Drosophila melanogaster: one gene and its partners. The protein of the gene in region 2 interacts with the protein of the main gene of each other region in a pairwise test. Each region holds a gene or a part of one and is shown on either strand. Other genes may lie near its edges.

Region 1 (6,209 bases), 280 kb from region 2:
AGACGTCCTCGTCCCAGTGGAGGCTTCGACATCATGGGTATTATTCGGAATGCCATCGATTTGCCGCTGAAGTGGCGACGGCGACAGGCCCGCCAGTTCTTCAGCACCTGCTCTGACCGGATTACAATGCCTTGCATCATAGAGGATTTCATAGGAACCGGTCTGGGCCCACTTCCTGGGTGCGAGCCCGTCCACTGCGGCGCCCAATTCTGCTCCTCGGGCGTGTGGCCCTGTCGCATTGAAAGCACTGTGACTCCGTTCTATATTGGTGTCCACTTCGGCAATGGCCAGGGCGCCGGCAAGGCGAACGCAGAGGATAACGTGGGTGCCTGTCTGCGATATTCCCAAGTGCAATGCATGTAATGACTTGCGGGGATATTAACTTTCATTTCGCTTTAACAAATTATTTTTCAATTATCGAAATAGAGTTAAGATACTGTGTTTGTGATGACTTAAATACTTCTATTTTATTTGTAGGTTGATAGTAACATTCCCTGGATAAATAGTATGTACAAAATTCTTCAACTTATTCGAACTTAGTTAAGACAAACTACAATGATTCAAAATAGTATTCTAAGCGACTTTTACAGCTTTCAATAAATGTCTATGTGAGTTGTTCGCTTGCTTATATTATCGAATTATATTCACAATCAGTATTTAAATACATATATATAATGTGCAATCGGAGAGGTAAAGCTTATCGCAAAATAAAAAACCATTCCATTTGACTTGAACTGTGCTGCGGATGTGCGTTTGAGTAAGCTGACATCGCTTGGAATGACAATGAAACTTAATGCCAACAGGATGACAGCAAATAGGTAGGGATACATTTAGCAATGGCCCCTTTGCAGGGCGACGACTTTGGCTTGCAGCGGTAAACATTCATATACAAATGATAAGAGCTTGATAACCCTTCTGATACTAGAAGTATTCGCCAGCAGCCTTGTACGATCTCGGGCAATTTTGTTCGGCATACAAGGCGTAGGCGTTCTTAGATCCTATTTTGATAGGCAGCTTGCTCGAGTGCTTATTCCACACATGCACTACATACGAGTCCTTGCACCGGGCGATTGTCTCTTCTAAGTTTTCCGGCTCAAAGAAGTCTCGCCACTGCTTCCACGGTACGGCGTAAAAGGCGCCCCGTCCGAATACTTTGAAGCCCATGCAGCGCTTGGGGTCCTCTCGCATCAGAGCAATGTCTTTGGTGCCACATATCTTCTGAGCCACACGGGTTATCACCCCTGGGCCATTGTTGCCCCAGTCCCCGCCGTTAAAGTTGTGCTGAAAGTCGCGCAAACAGGACGCGGCGATCTCGTGGCCAAAGCCAGTGGCTGCCAGGTTCATTACGCCAGCTGCCAAATGGGTGTTGGACTCAGCACCTGTGTAATTGGGCGGCACCTTCTCCATGTTGCGAAGCACCACCACATCCATGTCCAGATAAAGACCGCCATACCGATAGAGGGTAAGGTAGCGGAGAAAGTCTGATATGTGCGAGAACAAATATCTGGAAAGGTAATGTCATCAATGAGTAATAACTAGGGAGAGTCTTTAAACTCACTTTGACCGCGACAAACGACCATCTTTGAGCCACTCCTCCATGGGCGTGCCAGATGCGTAACTCTCGAGATTCAGTCGACGTAGATGGACATTGCTGTAACTGAGAATGGCCTCCAACAATGGTTGGGGATGGCTTTTGTTGTTGGAGATTCGATAGGTGGGGCCAGCGAACAGGACGAACACTTGGAAATTCGGATTATGCATCGCTGCCGACTCGATTGCGCATGCCTGGCGGGCAGTGACCTTCAGCGTCTCCAGCTGTCTGTTCTCGGATAGGCGGCAGCTGGTCTCGTGAAAGAAGATACTGTTTCCGGGCGAGGGTTTGGGATCCGCCTGGAGGACGTCGCCCAATAGATTTGTTTCGCCATCTGCAGTTAGCGCCTGCTGAGTTGCCAGTACTTGGCCCTCCATAAAGCATGAGTGGTATTTATTTTCCGAAGTGTAGATGTAGAAGAGGCCTCCAATTACCATTAGGACGAGGATGATGAACATCCTGCGTGCCACCGCAATGGGCAACCAGAGGAGCATGACTGCAGAGAGATCTGGTAGCAAAAAATAGTGTAAGCATCATTTAACTTAAATGTTGTACATTTCAGCTATTTCTTACTCTATGTACGCCACATCGTCGCTGGGCAGTATTCCTTAATCGCCCTCGACGACAAGGAAACTCTAACAATTGAAAGGCACACAGCGAAGAACCACAACAAAAAGCGCTGTTATCGTTCCGCGGAAGCTAATCGATAACAGAAAATCTACCGGGTGGACAGTTCTCGTGTGTGGACTCGATAACTCGATGGGGTGGGCAGTTTCATTGCACAATCGACATCTCTGGCGTGGAAAGCGGCATTCGCTTTGAGAATTTTACGGATTTTTTCAATTACCGAAAGAAAAGTGAATTGGCCGGCGCAGCACGCAACGACCGGTAGACTCTCGGTGCACCCATTACCCATATAGCAAAATAGTGAAATGAATGTTCCTCCTAGCGTGGGCAATGGAGGAGCGCCACCGGGAAGGGGCATAGGCTACACGCCGCCCGGTGCAATCGTGCCGCAGTTTCCACCACCCGGATTTGGGGCCCCACCCCCACCGGAGCTGGCCGCCGCCTTCGGGGTGATGGCCACCAGCACCGAGTGGACGGAGCACAAGGCGCCGGACGGACGACCATACTATTACAATCAGAACACGAAGCAAAGCTCGTGGGAGAAGCCGGAGGCTCTGATGACGCCCGCCGAGCTGCTGCACAACCAGTGTCCCTGGAAGGAGTATCGCTCGGATACGGGCAAAGTGTACTACCACAACGTGGCCACCAAGGAGACCTGCTGGGAGCCGCCGCCGGAGTACGTGGATATGAAGGCCAAGGCGAAGGCGGAAGAGTAAGTAAATTAGTTGTGCATCGCGTGCCACTTAGTAATATGATTCCTTGTTTACCCAGAGCTGCTGCAGCCGCCAAAGCCGTAGCAGCCATGACATCATCCAGCTTAGCCGGCATGGTGCCACCTGCTGCTCTGGCTAGTATTCTTCCCGCTGCCCTGCCTGTTGCCCCCCGATTACCGACTCCTGAGATCCACTCGCCGCTGACACCCAGCAGCAACGAGAACTCGTCATCAGCGATGGATCAGGCCATGGCCGCCACGTTAGCGGCTATAGAGGTGCCACAACAAAATGGTAAATATTATAAACTCTGAAAATATACAGCCCAAGTCACACGACTTTCTTTGCAGCTAAGAAGGACGACAAGTCAGAGAGCGCTGTGGTGTTTAAGGATAAACGCGAGGCCATCGAGTCCTTTAAAGAGCTGCTGCGGGACCGCAATGTGCCATCAAATGCGAACTGGGACCAGTGTGTGAAAATCATATCAAAGGATCCGCGATACGCAGCCTTCAAAAATCTGAACGAGCGCAAGCAAACATTCAATGCCTACAAGACGCAGAAGATTAAGGACGAGCGCGAGGAGTCTCGCTTAAAAGCCAAGAAGGCAAAAGAGGACTTGGAGCAGTTCCTTATGTCCAGCGATAAGATGAACTCGCAGATGAAATATTTTCGTTGTGAAGAAGTATTTGCCGGAACGCGAACATGGACCGCGGTGCCGGAACCGGATCGGCGAGATATATACGAGGACTGTATATTTAATTTAGCGAAGCGAGAGAAGGAAGAAGCGCGGTTGCTGAAAAAACGAAACATGAAGGTTCTGGGCGAGCTGCTAGAGTCGATGACTTCAATCAATCATGCCACCACCTGGTCAGAGGCTCAGGTTATGCTATTGGACAACGTAGCATTTAAGAATGATGTGACTCTGCTCGGAATGGACAAGGAGGACGCCCTAATTGTCTTCGAGGAGCACATTCGCACCTTGGAAAAGGAGGAGGACGAGGAACGTGAGCGGGAAAAGAAGCGCATGAAGCGACAGCAGCGCAAAAACAGGGACTCCTTTCTTGCGCTGCTCGACTCCCTGCATGAAGAGGGAAAGCTCACTTCCATGTCGCTGTGGGTGGAGCTGTATCCCATCATATCAGCCGATTTGCGATTCTCCGCTATGCTCGGCCAGAGCGGGTCTACACCCCTGGATCTTTTCAAGTTCTATGTGGAAAACCTGAAAGCCCGCTTCCATGATGAGAAAAAAATAATAAGGGAGATCCTCAAGGAAAAGGCATTTGTTGTCCAAGCGAAGACATCCTTCGAGGACTTTGCCACGGTCGTGTGTGAAGATAAGCGGTCAGCCAGCCTGGACGCGGGAAATGTGAAGCTCACATACAACTCCCTGCTGGAAAAGGTAACTATGGAGTGGGAAAAAAACCTTATATCAATAAAACTCATTTGTGTATTTATAATCTACAGGCCGAGGCCATTGAAAAGGAACGGATGAAAGAGGAGGTGCGAAGGTTGCGGAAACTAGAAAATGAAATTAAAAACGAATGGCTGGAGGCGAACGTCTCAGTGGCCGAACCCTATGAGAGCGCCAAGAAGCTGGTAGAACACCTTGAAGCATTTGCCCTTTATGAAAAAGAAATCGGTGTGGAGAAGATCTGGGAGGACTTTGTTAAGGAAAGCGAAGATGCGTGCAGCCATCATCACTCGCGATCACGAAAATCTAAGAAAAACAAGAAGCACAAAAAACGAGTACGGTCCGTCTCGAGATCAGACATCGAGAATGAGCATATAGAAGTGGAGAAGTCCAAGCGAAGGCGCTCCAAGACACGATCGGTTAGTATGCTAAACATAACATTAAATGCAACTTGTAAGTTAAATAATAACGTCACGCACATACAGCATTCCCTGACCTCAATTGGCAGCATCGAGAGCGAAAAATTGCTGAAGAAGAAAAAGAAGCGCAAGAACAAACTGCGAGGTGTACGTAGCAAGTCGGCCCAGTCCTTGGACAACTATACTATCTAACATGGCTTACATTTCAGTCCTCCTGCGAATCGGATGTTCCAGGCATTCAATCGCCGGGAACTCAAGCTCTACTTCAGAACGACTCAAACTCGCACTCACCCGCAAAGAAAAAGAAGAAGGAGAAGCGAGCTAAGAAGGACAAGCGACACAACAGGCACAATCGATCCGGCACGCCCCTTAGTCCTGCCCAGTCCGTCGAGTCGTCTGGATCGCGAAACGAGGAGCTGACGTTAAGTGACGGCGAGCTGGAATCGAAGCGAGCGGCTCTTCTAGCCCAACTCAGCGAGCAGCTCGACGAGTGACCAGCTGACAGGCGTTGAGTCAAAGCCGACATCGACATCGTGTGGCACTCTCTAGCTCTAGCTTAAGGAGGATCGGGAGAGGTAGCTAGCCCTGGACTCAGTTGCTGGACAAGTTCTCTTTTCAGTCCTTGCCTTCCACTGCACTCTGCTTCGTTTGGTTTAGATACTGTCCTGGTCCCAGCACAAACCACACAGCGAACCACAATTGTAATTTCTTAGTCTCAATAAGTTTCAATGTATAAATGAGAATTAAACCTAACGAGTCAAATTTTAAGTTATACGCAAATGATTTTGATTCTGCATCAAAATAAACAAATTACGATAGAAATTACAAGATAAGATCTTTTGTGTTAACTTCACTTTTTGCAGAACCTATTTTAAATCCTCGCATTTAAATTGAATGACGCGAACTTATTGTAGTTTTTACTATGTTTAATGACATCCTTGACAATCGCACAAATGGAAAAGTTGTATTTCTTGTTGTCAAACTAAAACTTGAACTCCTTGTACTTCTTTGTGGTCTTGGCCGGATCCGTTTGCTGTCGCTTGCGCTTCGATTTCTGCCGCGCCACATGTTCGGCCAACATGTCTGACAGATCCTCCTTTTGCAGGTGATTCTGCTGCTCACGCATTTGTTGCTCATAACGCTGGGCCATTGCGTCATTGTCCAAGTCCAATTCGCTAGGATCGAGAGCCAGTTCCACAATGCCCTCGCGATCTGTGGTTGATCGAACTGGGGGCTGTTTGTTAGCCCCACTGCCACTGACGTCGTAGACATGGGTTGATCCCATCATGGAAGCCCCTATGCGGTCGGTGCGCTTCTCAGGCAGCACTTGATACAGAACAGGAGTTTCGTTGCTAGGAGAAGTTGGAATAATGGGCTTAATCGTGATGTTATTTTAAAAATATTAGTTCACTTACTCCTCCATCTCGGCTTCAATTTTCTTCTTGCGAAGC
Region 2 (4,790 bases):
GTAAAAAGATAGTTGGAAAGTAGTGCTGCACGAGATCGAGGCCCGCCCTTTTATCACGTTTTAACCGACTAATGTTATTCCACAATAAAAATAACTTTGTATTTTGAGAGACTGATTGTTTAAATTGTCCAAATTGAATTTAAGATACATGTACATATAAGTGGAATAACCATTGTAAAGCAGTGCGTTTAGGCATCCGAAAGAGCAGCCACTCCAGGCAGAACCTTACCCTCCAGCAACTCCAGGGAAGCTCCTCCACCGGTGGACACATGCGAGACCTTGTCGGCGCCTCCGAACTTCAAGCAAGCGGTGGCCGTATCCCCACCACCAACGATTGTGGTGGCTCCTCGGTTAGTGGCCCCGATTACTGCCTCCAGCATGGACTCGGTGCCTTTGGAGAATAGCTCGTTTTCGAACAAGCCTGGCGGTCCGTTCCAGACGATGGTTTTGGATGCACAAATAGCGCCAGCAAACATCTGACTGGATGCCTGGCCGTGGTCCAGACCCATCATGTCCTCCGGTATGCCCTGTGTGGCATCCACATGTTCCACTTTATCCGGCTCCTTGTCGATCTTATTGGCTATGACAAAGTCAATCGGAAATAGTATATTCACGTCCTTCTCCTTCGCCTTGCAGACTATGTCGTTGACCAACTCGGATCCCTTCTCGTCGAAGAGGGACTTTCCAATCTCCATGCCATTGAGCACTTTGAGAAAGGTGAAGGCCATGCCACCGGATATGATCATGGCCGTTACATTGTTCAGGAGGTTCGTTATCAGTGGAATTTTATCGGCTATCTTGGCGCCACCCAGAATGGCCAAAAAGGGCTTGGCCGGATCGTGGAGAACCTTGGCAAAGTACTCCAGTTCCTTGTCCAGCAGGAAACCAGCCGCTCGCACCTTGTAGCCATCGCCCATCATGGAACTATGCGGACGATGTGCTGTTCCAAAGGCATCGTTCACATAGATCTCGCCCAGCTGCGCCAACTTGGCTCGGAATTCCTTCACCTTCGCGGGATCTGCTTTGACCTTCTTCTTGTTATCGTCCTTGCTGCTGCCCGTCTCCTCGGCATAGAAACGAAGATTCTCCAACAGGAACACAGTGCCGTCGGAGGGATCCTTCAAAGCTCTCAGGGTGCTATCACCCACGCAGTCGTCCAGGAATTGAACCGGCTGGCCCAGCACACTCTCCAGCTCCTTGGCCACGGGTTCCAGGCTAAACTTTTTGTTCTTTTTGCCATCCGGACGCCCCAAGTGGGATGCCAAAACCTAGGCAAAAAATTAAGTTATTCGTTCTATACTTTTTAGGAATTGAAGGAAGATATATCAACTCACCAAGGACTTACATTTCTTGTCCAAGGCATATTTAATACTGGGAAGTGCGGAAACAATTCGTTGGTTGTTGGTTATTTTGCCATCTTTCATGGGTACATTAAAGTCCACTCTAAAAATAAATTTATAAATCACACACTAAAACATATCTGGCAAGGATACTCACCTCATAAAAACCCTTTTCCCAGCCACATCTACATTTTTTAAGCTCAACTTCTTTACTTGCTTTCCATTGCAATCGTCTTTGCTAAAAAATCTTGGAAATCTTAATTTTGTAAATCGAGTTTGAGCTCTTTGGTATAAACTCTGCCGAATTGGAAGCATATTAAATAAATTTATTACCTGTTTTTGACTGAAAATACAATGCACGATGAGGAAGTAATTATGAAAATAAGTAACTAAATTAACTATTTTCAATAATTTTCGAAAAAGTAAAAGAAAAATGTAACCCTATGGCAACACCAAGTTAAATTACTTCACCACGATCTGGCAGCCCGGGCGAACATATGATTTTGTTGAAAACAACAGAAAAGGAGGGAAAATCTGGAATTGTTTGTAATTTGTTTGTTTTGCTGTTAAAACGCAAATCAAACCCAAGATGGGTGGCGGAGATCTAGTAAGTAATGTCTCCCAACTGATTATCCGTCAATTACCATTGATTTTTCCCGCAGAATCTGAAGAAATCATGGCATCCGCACACGATGAAAAACCAGGAGCGCGTTTGGAAGGCGGAGGAGCAAGCGAAGATGGAGGAGCGCAAGCTGCAGGATCTGCGCAAGGAGATCAACGAGGAGCGGGACAGAGAGGAACTAAGGCGATTGGGCGAAAGTTCCGGAGTGCTGAGCAATAATGGCGGAGCCGCCGGCGAGGCCAAGCTGGAGTGGATGTACAAAAGTGAGTCATACATGTGAAACTCTTATAAAACTCATTATCCATACATATTTATCTTGCTCCAGACAGCACAGAGCTGATCAACCGCGAGGAGTACCTCCTGGGCCGTAAGATCGACAAGTCCTTTGAGACGCTGCAAGCGGAGGAAAGCCGCCAGGAGCAGAACACAGTGGGTCTCAAGCAAACGATCAACCATGTGGAGCACGACTGTGTGCCCTTCTCCATCCGGACCTACCGCAATGTGCAGTCCAACGAACAGGTGGACATACAGCGCAAGACCCTCGAGGATCCCCTGATGCTCATCAAGCAGCGCGAAATGGAATCCCGTCGAAAGCTGCTTGAGAACCCCGTCAAGCTGAAGGAAATCCATCGCATTCTCAAGACTGAACAGGAACAAAAGGCCGCAGAGGGAAAGAAGAAGAACAAGAAGAACAAAAAGTCTAAGAAATCCAAAAAGAAGAAGAAGAACCGACGATCCAGCAATGAGGAAAGTAGTGACAGCGAGAGCAATGATAGCGACGATGACTTGGACAGAAAATTAGCCCGCCAAGTGAGCAAACTCAAGGGAGACCAAGGTGACCTTAAACTGGACAAGCTGCTGGACGCCAAGTACCGCACCATTTCAAATCAATTAGACATGGCCACCAAGAAGAAAAAGAGCAAGAAATCCAAGAAGAAGAAAAGCAGCGATAGCAGTGACGAAAGTAGTGACGAAGAGGAAGAGCCAAGGAGAAAGCACAAAAGGAGCCACAGCTCAGAGGACAGAAATCAGCGAGAAAGACGCAGGAGTAGAAGCCCCCGGGATAGAAAAAAGCGACAGAGTAGAAGTCCGGAACAAAGGCAAAGGCAAAGGAGTCCAGAAGAGAGAAGGGAAAGGCGCAGGAGCAGGAGCAGAAGTCCCTTAGCGAGAAGACAGAGAAGAACCAGGAGCCCAGAGGACAGAAAAGCCAGACGTCAAAGCAAGGACACTTCAAAGCAGCGCGAGAAACGCAGGAGTAGGACACCTGAAGAGCGTTCCAGATCAAAACGCAGCAGGAGCCGAAGTTCCAAAGGAGATGACAAGCGAAGGATTGCCGAAAGACCGCCTCCCAGCCGTCCCACCGGCAAGCCAAAGTTAAGCGAAGCCGACCGAGAAGCTCGCCTGCGCGAAATGATGGACAACGCCACTTGGAGAGAAGCGGATCGCAGCCAGGTGGTTCGCAAGCACCGAGAAGCATACGCGCGCGAGGAGGCCCAAAATCGTGAACGAGACTTCGACAAGGAGTTCATTAACAAGGAGGTGAAGAAGGCCATTGCCAACCATAACTCAATTGGCGATCGCATCCGGGCCAATCTCAACAACATACAGCGCACCGCCTCCTCAATGGACAGCAACTTTGCCCGCAAATAAACTAGGATTCCTTTATTTCGTATGCATTATATGGTTCCGCAACAAATAGATTCAACACTTTTTAACGTCGTGGTTTGTGCTTACAAGGTAAACGATGCGATTAACATTAATATACCGTATATATGTACGCTTAGGCGCTGGTCAATGCAGCCACGCCTGGCAGTGTCTTGCCCTCCAGGAGCTCCAGCGAAGCGCCGCCTCCGGTGGAGACGTGCGAGACGAGTGCCTCCGTGTTCCACTTGGCGCAGCAAGAGGCAGTGTCGCCGCCGCCGATGATGGAGACGGTGCCGTTCTTGGTGGCGGCCACCACGCCGTCCATGATGGACTTGGTGCCGTTGGCGAAGTTGGGGAACTCAAAGACACCGGGGGGTCTAAAATGGGAAAACCATTATAGGACATTTGGAGAAGTAGCTTCAGTGTGACACCTACCCGTTCCACACGATGAGCTTGGCGCGTGCGATGGGTGCCGCGAAGAGCTCACGGGTCTTGGGACCCACATCCAGACCCATGTGTCCATCGGGAATTCCGGCCTCCACGGTGGCCTCGCTGACGGCAGCGTTCTCGGCGAACTTGTCGCCGCAGACAAAGTCCACTGGCAGATGCAACTGCACGTTATTCTTCTTGGCCTTCTCCACCAGTTTCTCGACGATCTTGGAGCCCTCCTCGTCGAACAGGGAACCGCCGATCTTCATGTTGTTGAGGACCTTCAGGAAGGTGAAGGCCATGCCGCCACCGATGATCATCTCGTTGACCTTGTCCAGAAGGTTCTCAATCAGCTGGATCTTGTCGGCCACCTTGGCGCCACCGAGAATTGCCAGGAAGGGATTTGGTGGCTTGTCCAGGGCCTGCGAGAAGTACTTCAGCTCCTTGTTCAGCAACAGACCAGCTGCGCGCTGCTCGAAGCCATCGCCCATCATGGAACTGTGGGCGCGATGGGCAGTGCCGAAGGCGTCGTTGACATAGACATCGCCCAGCTTGGCCAGGCTGGCACGGAACTCCTTGACCTTGGCAGGATCGGCCTTGACCTTGCCGCCGCTGGCATCCAAGCCCTTGCCCTCCTCCTCCACGTAGAAGCGGACGTTCTCCAGCAGAATGACGGATCCCGGTGCGGGATCCTTGCAAGCGGCCTCCACTTCGCTGCCGACGCAGTCACTTAGGAAGATCACATCCTGGCCAAG
Region 3 (7,219 bases), on a different chromosome or scaffold from region 2:
GACATCTTCGCTGCTCTCTTCTGGGCAGCGTGGGCGGATAGGGGGCGTGGCTCTTCTCGACGAGATCACTCCGCTTTTGGCTAGCTGATTGCTAATTTCGGATGAAGTATGCTTAGTTTTTTGGAAACGATAATTTTTTTTGCGTGGCAGTGGCACAAACTCAAGCGGTTCTGTTTGCTTCGTTCCACAATTTAAATCCAATTTGGCTGTTTGTTTTAATAAAGGATGTGTAAGCTTTATATGCTTTTGTTTGTGTTCTAGTAGTATTAATTCTCTTATTTATTATTATTTTTATTATTAGTTTGTGATATGGTATCGATATCCGACGTCCTATCGTCAGCTGATTTTGTTATTGTTATTGTTTTTGGTCAGCTATCGATTGGCGATAGGCAGACCGACCGCCAAGGTGCATGGCAAAAAACTGACATCTACTAAACAGAGTGCCAAAATTTAAAATTGTTTATTGTAAAAAAAAATACCTTTATTTATTATTGAATATTCAAGCATTCTTCGATTAGAGCCGCTGAACTTTGTAGTTAAAGTTGGATACTCTTAGCATACTTAGTAATAGTGTAGACTAAAAGTCTACCTAACGACGCATTTATCCCAAGCAAATCCAAAGAGAGAGCCACGTCACTTCATAAATTCTGTTGCAACGTTTATTTGAAATCAAAAAAACAAAAAATTTTCTCAACACAAACAAAAAGTTGTTGAGGAGAAACATATTGACTGACTAATGAGTTGAGTGAGTGGCATGGTATTTACAGCCTGGCAGGGAGCCGATCCTCCTCCGTTCCGATCCCTTCTAGAAAGTACGTGGCTGGGAGCCGAAACCAAGCCCCACGCCACGCATCGTGTGTGTGGCGGCTCGCGCCATCTCGTACTGCTGCTCCATGTTGGAGAACATGCGCTGGCGCTGCTGCACGTCCGTGGGCACTTTCGTTCCGCCAGCGGCTCCCGATGGCGCAGCACCTCTTACTGCGCGGTTTCCCTCGCCTGCTGCACTTCCATTGGTGGACTCCGCCTGGCCGCCCTTGCCATCGTCATTGCCGGACGTACCAGCGTTCTTGATACCCATGAGCCGCATAAACTTGGAGGCCACCTTGCCGTCGGAGTCCTGGGAGAAGTGCGCGTTGCCCCACTTGTTCGCCGAGTTCTCGCTCTTCTTGGAGCCCCACAGTAGCTTGCGCTTCTGCTGCTGCTCCGCATAGCGATTGGCATTGATGATGCTCGGATTGTAGTAACTGGGCAGCTGGATGGGTTCTGCGACTGGTGCTGCTGCCGCTGGTGTGCTCAGCTCCAAGGACATCAGCGAGGGTATCTTGGGCGCATAGTTGGGCGTGGGCAGGAGACCGCCGCCACCGCCGCCGGATGAACCGGCTGCCATGGCTGCGGCTGTTGCATTGGCAGCTACCAGAGCGGCCGCTGCAACCCTCGCCGCTGCTGTTGCATTAGTTGCCGTTGATCCTGCTCCGCCGCCTGATTTAGCGAGCAGCATATGAGATCCGGCCACAGCTCCACCGCGAAGTGTTGTGGCTTGTTCTTCCTTCGGAGATCTGGAGCGGCTGCTGGAGTCGCGTTCGCGATATTTGCGTGACTGTTGCGACTGATGGCGGCGACGAGAGGGCGGCGTGCCCGTTGGTGTGCGGGAACCGGATCGAGAGTCCCGGCGACGACGACTGCGTTCATCATGGGATCGACGGACTGATGCTGCACTGACCGCTGCAGCGGCGGCTGACGATGAGTTGTTGTGATGATGATGATGGCGTTCCTTGCCACTGTGGTGGCGACTGCTCTTCTCCGAACGCCTACGGTCCCGATCCTTGTCGCGATCTCGCTCCCTCTCCCGGTCACGATCCCGCTCCCGCTCTCTGTGGCTGTCGCCGTCTTTGGTACGATGGTGGCGATGGTCGCCCTGTAAATAGCACAGACATTAGTTTGGCTGAGTTATGCTGAGTTGATTAGGACTCTGTCTCACCTTGCTGTGATTCTTGTCGCGTCCTTTGTCGCGACTGCGTTCTGAATCGCTGCGCTTCTTGTCCTTGTCCCTGTCACGTTCGCGGTCGCGGTCCCGTTCCCTGTCCTTGTCCCGCTCCTGGCGGTGGCGACTGCTGGGCTTCGGCTCCTGGAACGGGATGAAGCAACACATTGAGGAGAATTACATTAGAGCGTATGGATCTACGAATCTGCGCCGGCGACTAAGGATCTAGGTCTAGTTGCTAGATGCTTAGGATGCTGGAGGGGAAATAGAAAGAGGATTCGGGCTGTGGGCCACCAGCTGGGGTCCTTTCCGGGGTGTCCTAGATTGCTTAGAGAGTTGTTAGGTTCTATTTGATCGCTTTTTGTATACTCACTTTCGTGCGCCTTGATCTCTCTTTCGCATTATCTCTCTCTCTCTCTCTCTCTCTCGCTTTCGCGCCACCAGTGAGTGAGTGAGTGGGTGGATGGGTGGGTGGTTGTGTGTGTGTGTGTGTGTGCGGGCGGGCATGTGTGTGGTGAGTGTGATCGTTCTATTTGCTTTTACCTTTTTCAGTGGCTCACACACACCCACCAACACAGCCACAGAGTCGCACACAGGACTACACACACAGTGGTGGTCATAACAAATTTGATCGATTGTCGCACTATCGAAGAAGCTATTGGTAATCGAGCGATTACTACGATCGGGCTATCGTCAATTATCGTCGGTCAGGTTTGTTTTCGTTTTTTGTTTTTGACTTGTTTGTTTGGAAAATGGTTTTTCGTTTTGGTTCGATTCGGTTTCGTTTACGTAACAACAATAACAATGATAATAAAATGGTAGAGTTTAGTCATTTAAATATTGATTGGCATATAAAGTTTGTAGACTTAACTAAGCTGGCCGAACAACAACAACAACAATGTGTGTGTAAATCGCAAGCGGACCGAACAAACAGAATTTTCTGTCTTTGGATTTAATTTTGAGTTTTTGGCCCATATAAATCTGGCAGTAGCGAAATTTGGATGTAACGGGTTGGAGCGCATGCAGTCGATCGTGGAGATCAATATACATAAATATATGAATATTGAATTTTTCAGTTGGGAACAGCAGATGACTAAATAATAGCACAAGAAAATGCCTGAAGCCCCTAAAGATGCAGAATCTAACAAGATCTGCGATTTATATCTGTAACTAATGGAAGTATTAATCAATGATAACCGAAGTAAAGCTGAACTACAAGACTACAAGAAAAGATTGTGAATCTGTTCTTTTCTTTAATTGCAATATAAACTATAGAACCAGTGGGGAATGGACTGCATGCATTATTGTGTTTTAACATTCCATTAATTTAGTTTTAACAATGAAGTACTGCTGCCAATGACCTTGCCTATGTATAGAATTATTACTTTTGCTGGCGTAAAGGAATGGAGGCACTGAAAACTAGGCTGCATTATTGATTTGATGCAGTGTCCTGTTTTTTTGGCACAAGTACTTTTCATTCATTACGTGGCATTTTCTCTTTTTTATTTGAAGTGAATTGGCCAATGTATACAACTGGGATTAACTTTAACTCAAAAGTTTAAAAGATCTCGGTTTCGATTTGATTGATATCTATACATTAGACGTTTGATTTAAAGCGGACTCTGTGCTATTATTTTGCCTGCCTCTGTAAGTGCTGCTGCTGGCAGCGCAGTCGGCGATGGCGTCGCCCTTTGCGGCAGCGGAAGGAAACGGCACATGAAAGATCCGCTTGCGCTCCAACCCAGATACACACACACACACATACGTATGGAGTACAATAGCATATGGTATTTGGTATATATTATGGGAAGTAAATATCGATTTGGTGCAACGGCAAGTCTTTACCTCATCAATGCGTCCTCTGCTGCTGCTCCTATGACTCTGCTGCTGCGACATCGGCTTTGTCTTCTCTCTCTCCCGCTCGCGCTCTCTTTCTCGTTCCTTGCCGCGCGGACTGTTGCCGCTGCCATAGTTATTGTTGTTCTTCTGCTTTAATAAGCTATCAGTTGTTGTTTTCGGGGATTTAGCATGCGGCAAATGCCGCAGTTGTTGTTGTTGTTGTGGTGCCTAGGGGAATTTTGCAACTTTTAAGAAACAGCAAATTCGCATTATTTTACTAAAGCACTAGGATACTTGAACTATATTATTGGAGTGGTTAGTGGTTTTGATTTTTGCTCGTTTTTTTTATGTTTTTTTTAATTGATGGGATCAGTTATCTTTATTTCGCGTTTCCGCGCATTCGTACACACACACAAGCACACACACACACACACGGTTCTCAAATACGGCAATCTCTTTCCTTGCCGCGCGGACTGTTGCCGCTAACATAGTTATTGTTGTTCTGCTCTAGTAAGTTAGCAGTTGTTGTTGTTCTCGAGGATTTAGCATGCGGCAAATGCTGCAGTTGTTGTGGTGCCAAGGGAATTTTGCAACTTTTAAGAAACAGCAAATTGGCATTATTTTACCAAAGCATACTTGAAATGTATTATTGGAGTGGTTAGTGGTTTTGAATTTTCCTCGTTTTTTTATGTTTTTTGAATTGATGGGATCAGTTCTTTATTTTGCGTTTCCGCGCATTCGCACACACACAACACAAACACGACACACACGCGGTTCCCATATACGCAAGGAAGAAAAAAGTGATGAAGATGTATGTGTACACAAAATGCGCTCTGATGATTCTTTCTTTTTTCAGCTGCTTCCGGCCTTGCGGTGTAGGCATATTTACCCGTATCTGAAAGCCAGCATCCTCCTGGTCGTCCTCACTACTATAATTCACTAGGGCCTCCATTGTTTGGGGCCAAAAATTGTTTTAGGCCAAAAATGTGGCTGAAGCACGCAGGTGCGTCCAAAAAAAAAACGAATCAATTGCTAAAAAAGAAAGTAGTGGTGGAACTATTGATAGAGATGAAAAGTGTGGCCAGCGCGCTTCGAAGTATCGATAGAATTTCCTAACTATCCGTTGATAAATAACGGTATATTTGAAAAGCCGATGTTTTGAAAAACGAAACGAAAATAGGTAAAACACATTTCAAATACACTAAAGCGCGTGTTTTTAAACTAGCTTTTTAAGCTTAATTACTCATATAGTAAAGGCATATATAGAAAGGCATATTAATTCGGACCATTCGTACCCGCCTTAAAGGAGATCGAAGAATGAGGTACCTCGGTTGGCTTCAATTAAGCCTCATTGATGGGCGGATACTGTACACGGCATGGAGTTGCTAAACGGTACTGTAAGGAGTAATCCTTTTCGATTCCGTTATCCTGACTATCTGGGCAGCAATTAGTCTGTCAAACACCTTTGAGATCGAAAGGAGAAAGCTGATCGGCCTGTTGGAAGCGGGCTCCCTTTTGTTTCGGTTTGCCAGGTTTATGGATCATGGAACTCATCCAGAGCTTCCACTGAGAAGGAAAGTATTGCTGCAGCCTCGCAATAGCGTTGAATACCAACGTTATTAAGAAGATCAGCTTATGCTTCCCTTTTTTTAGATTCGTACAATTGTTCACATTCAAAAAGGTTGAAAGTTGTTTTATTTTTTTAGTAAAGATTTTATTATCATCAGTTGTTTGCATAAAAAATGTAAATATAATTGTGTTTTGCTTTAGTCCCTAAAATTGTATGGGAATGGATTAATTACTAGCTATCACAAAATTGTAATCACGAAATTGATCACGAAACTGATTACTTTATGGCACACAAATTCGATATTTACACGAGTCAAGCATTTTGATGCATGTTCGGTGGTTTTATCAGGTGTGTTTATGAAATGGTTAATGTAATTCTGTTTTCTGTTAACAATAGATTCGCATACGTGCGTAAATGCAATTTCGTTTTCTGTTACCAATAGATTCTCGTATTTGTGTTACCAATTTTTTTTTTCTGTTACCAATAGATTTGTGTGTAAATGAAATTGTTTTTTCTGTTAGCAAACAATTCTCGTATCTGTGCAAATGCAATTATTTTTTCTGTCAACAATATGTAGATACATATGTGTGTAAATGCAATTCTGTCTTCTGTTAATAGATATGTCTCCAAAGGTATACAAAAAAAAAAAGGCTCTTATATTTAGGCCACAAATAGATGTTTTCAAAATTTCTGCTTCAAGTTGTCCTGTTCCTCTGAGATTTTTCAAATTTCCAAATTCCTGTACTTGTTCGATGTCCCGGGTAGCGGTGGGAAGTTTTTTTTTATTCAAGGCGAGATCTTCCAGTTTTTTGAGATCATCTTTCTTTCCATCCGATCCTCTAGCAAAAACGCCCATCAGAGTCACTATCTTGGCGCTCCGACTCCATTTTGTTATTAAAGCGACGCTCTGTGTTGCGAATAAAGTGAATATAAGTGTACATAAGTCTTAAATGTCTCAAATGCTAAATACTACTGATCTAAGCGTTTACAAAATTCAAAAAAAGCTTTCTAGAATGCATGAATCTGTGGGAAATGCAAATAATGTTTTGGCATTGATACTACAAGCTGTCGATACTAAAAGTGCAATAACCCAACCTAATTAAATTTAGAAATTTATAAAAATGGCGGTCCTTACTTGCAACCTTTAGACCACGATTTGGCTTGCGTCCGCCCGACTCTTCGCCTCCATCAAAACGTCCTGGACGTGGTCCTTCCTCTCCAGACTTTAAGTAGCGCATATTCGGCTGAGGAGGTAGGCAAGTGCATATATTAGAGATATACATATATACTTTGCAGACCAACAAACGTGATTATCATTACCTGATTCTCGTGTTGCTCCTGGCGATGTCCCAGTAATGTCCTGCTCATTTTGCGCGCCATCTCTTGCATCTCCGATGAAAAGCTGCGCGTACGCTGCTGCGTCTGCTGCTGCGGCTGTTGGAACTGCTGCCGCTGTTGGAACTGCTGTCGCTGTTGGAACTGCTGCGGCTGTTGGAACTGCTGCCGCTGTTGGAACTGCTGCGGCTGTTGGAACTGCTGTCGCTGTTGGATCTCTTGCGGCTGTTGGAACTGCTGCGGCTCCTGTTGGTTCTGTTGGATCCGATGGATCTGATTGATCTGATTAATCTTATTGATATGATGGATCTGGCGGATCCGCTCTATGAACTGCAGCTGAATCTGACCAAATGGCGCCGAAGAGCCGGTAGACTCTTCCGTGCAGTATCTGCCAATGGCCGTCTCGAAGAACGCCTCGCCGTACTCGGTGTACATCTGGGCAGCGTACAGCTCGATCTGTAAAAGGTTGACCATGATGTGGTCCATACTAGCAA

The links.
Region 1: the proteins of Cwc25 (region 2) and Prp40 interact in a two-hybrid assay, tested with the Drosophila melanogaster proteins (one large-scale study listed by BioGRID).
Region 3: the proteins of Cwc25 (region 2) and CG6340 interact in a two-hybrid assay, tested with the Drosophila melanogaster proteins (one large-scale study listed by BioGRID).

What each region holds. Positions count from the first base shown.
Region 1 is NT_033779.5:3,020,865-3,027,073, forward strand, and holds Prp40 (pre-mRNA processing factor 40), read left to right. Parts: upstream 1-2,361; 5' UTR 2,362-2,523; coding exon 2,524-2,930; intron 2,931-2,989; coding exon 2,990-3,222; intron 3,223-3,278; coding exon 3,279-4,327; intron 4,328-4,392; coding exon 4,393-4,758; intron 4,759-4,824; coding exon 4,825-4,905; intron 4,906-4,967; coding exon 4,968-5,252; 3' UTR 5,253-5,575; downstream 5,576-6,209. Other genes in the region: CG17264 (uncharacterized protein), read left to right, coding at 1-363; alpha4GT1 (alpha1,4-galactosyltransferase 1), read right to left, coding at 922-1,504, 1,559-2,085; Sf3b2 (splicing factor 3b subunit 2), read right to left, coding at 5,741-6,110, 6,174-6,209.
Region 2 is NT_033779.5:2,743,270-2,748,059, forward strand, and holds Cwc25 (Cwc25), read left to right. Parts: upstream 1-1,828; 5' UTR 1,829-1,929; coding exon 1,930-1,947; intron 1,948-2,002; coding exon 2,003-2,225; intron 2,226-2,287; coding exon 2,288-3,612; 3' UTR 3,613-3,675; downstream 3,676-4,790. Other genes in the region: CG9961 (uncharacterized protein), read right to left, coding at 189-1,268, 1,335-1,443, 1,498-1,655; Pgk (phosphoglycerate kinase), read right to left, coding at 3,743-3,983, 4,042-4,790.
Region 3 is NC_004354.4:15,480,028-15,487,246, reverse strand, and holds CG6340 (uncharacterized protein), read right to left. Parts: upstream 4,874-7,219; 5' UTR 4,773-4,873; coding exon 4,710-4,772; intron 4,066-4,709; coding exon of another isoform or gene 4,049-4,065; coding exon 3,827-4,048; coding exon of another isoform or gene 3,572-3,826; exon of another isoform or gene 2,867-3,571; intron 2,718-2,866; coding exon of another isoform or gene 2,679-2,717; exon of another isoform or gene 2,355-2,678; intron 2,126-2,354; coding exon 1,979-2,125; intron 1,916-1,978; coding exon 806-1,915; 3' UTR 635-805; downstream 1-634. Other genes in the region: Gmap (golgi microtubule-associated protein), read right to left, coding at 1-5; CG6324 (uncharacterized protein), read right to left, coding at 6,230-6,297, 6,526-6,634, 6,711-7,219.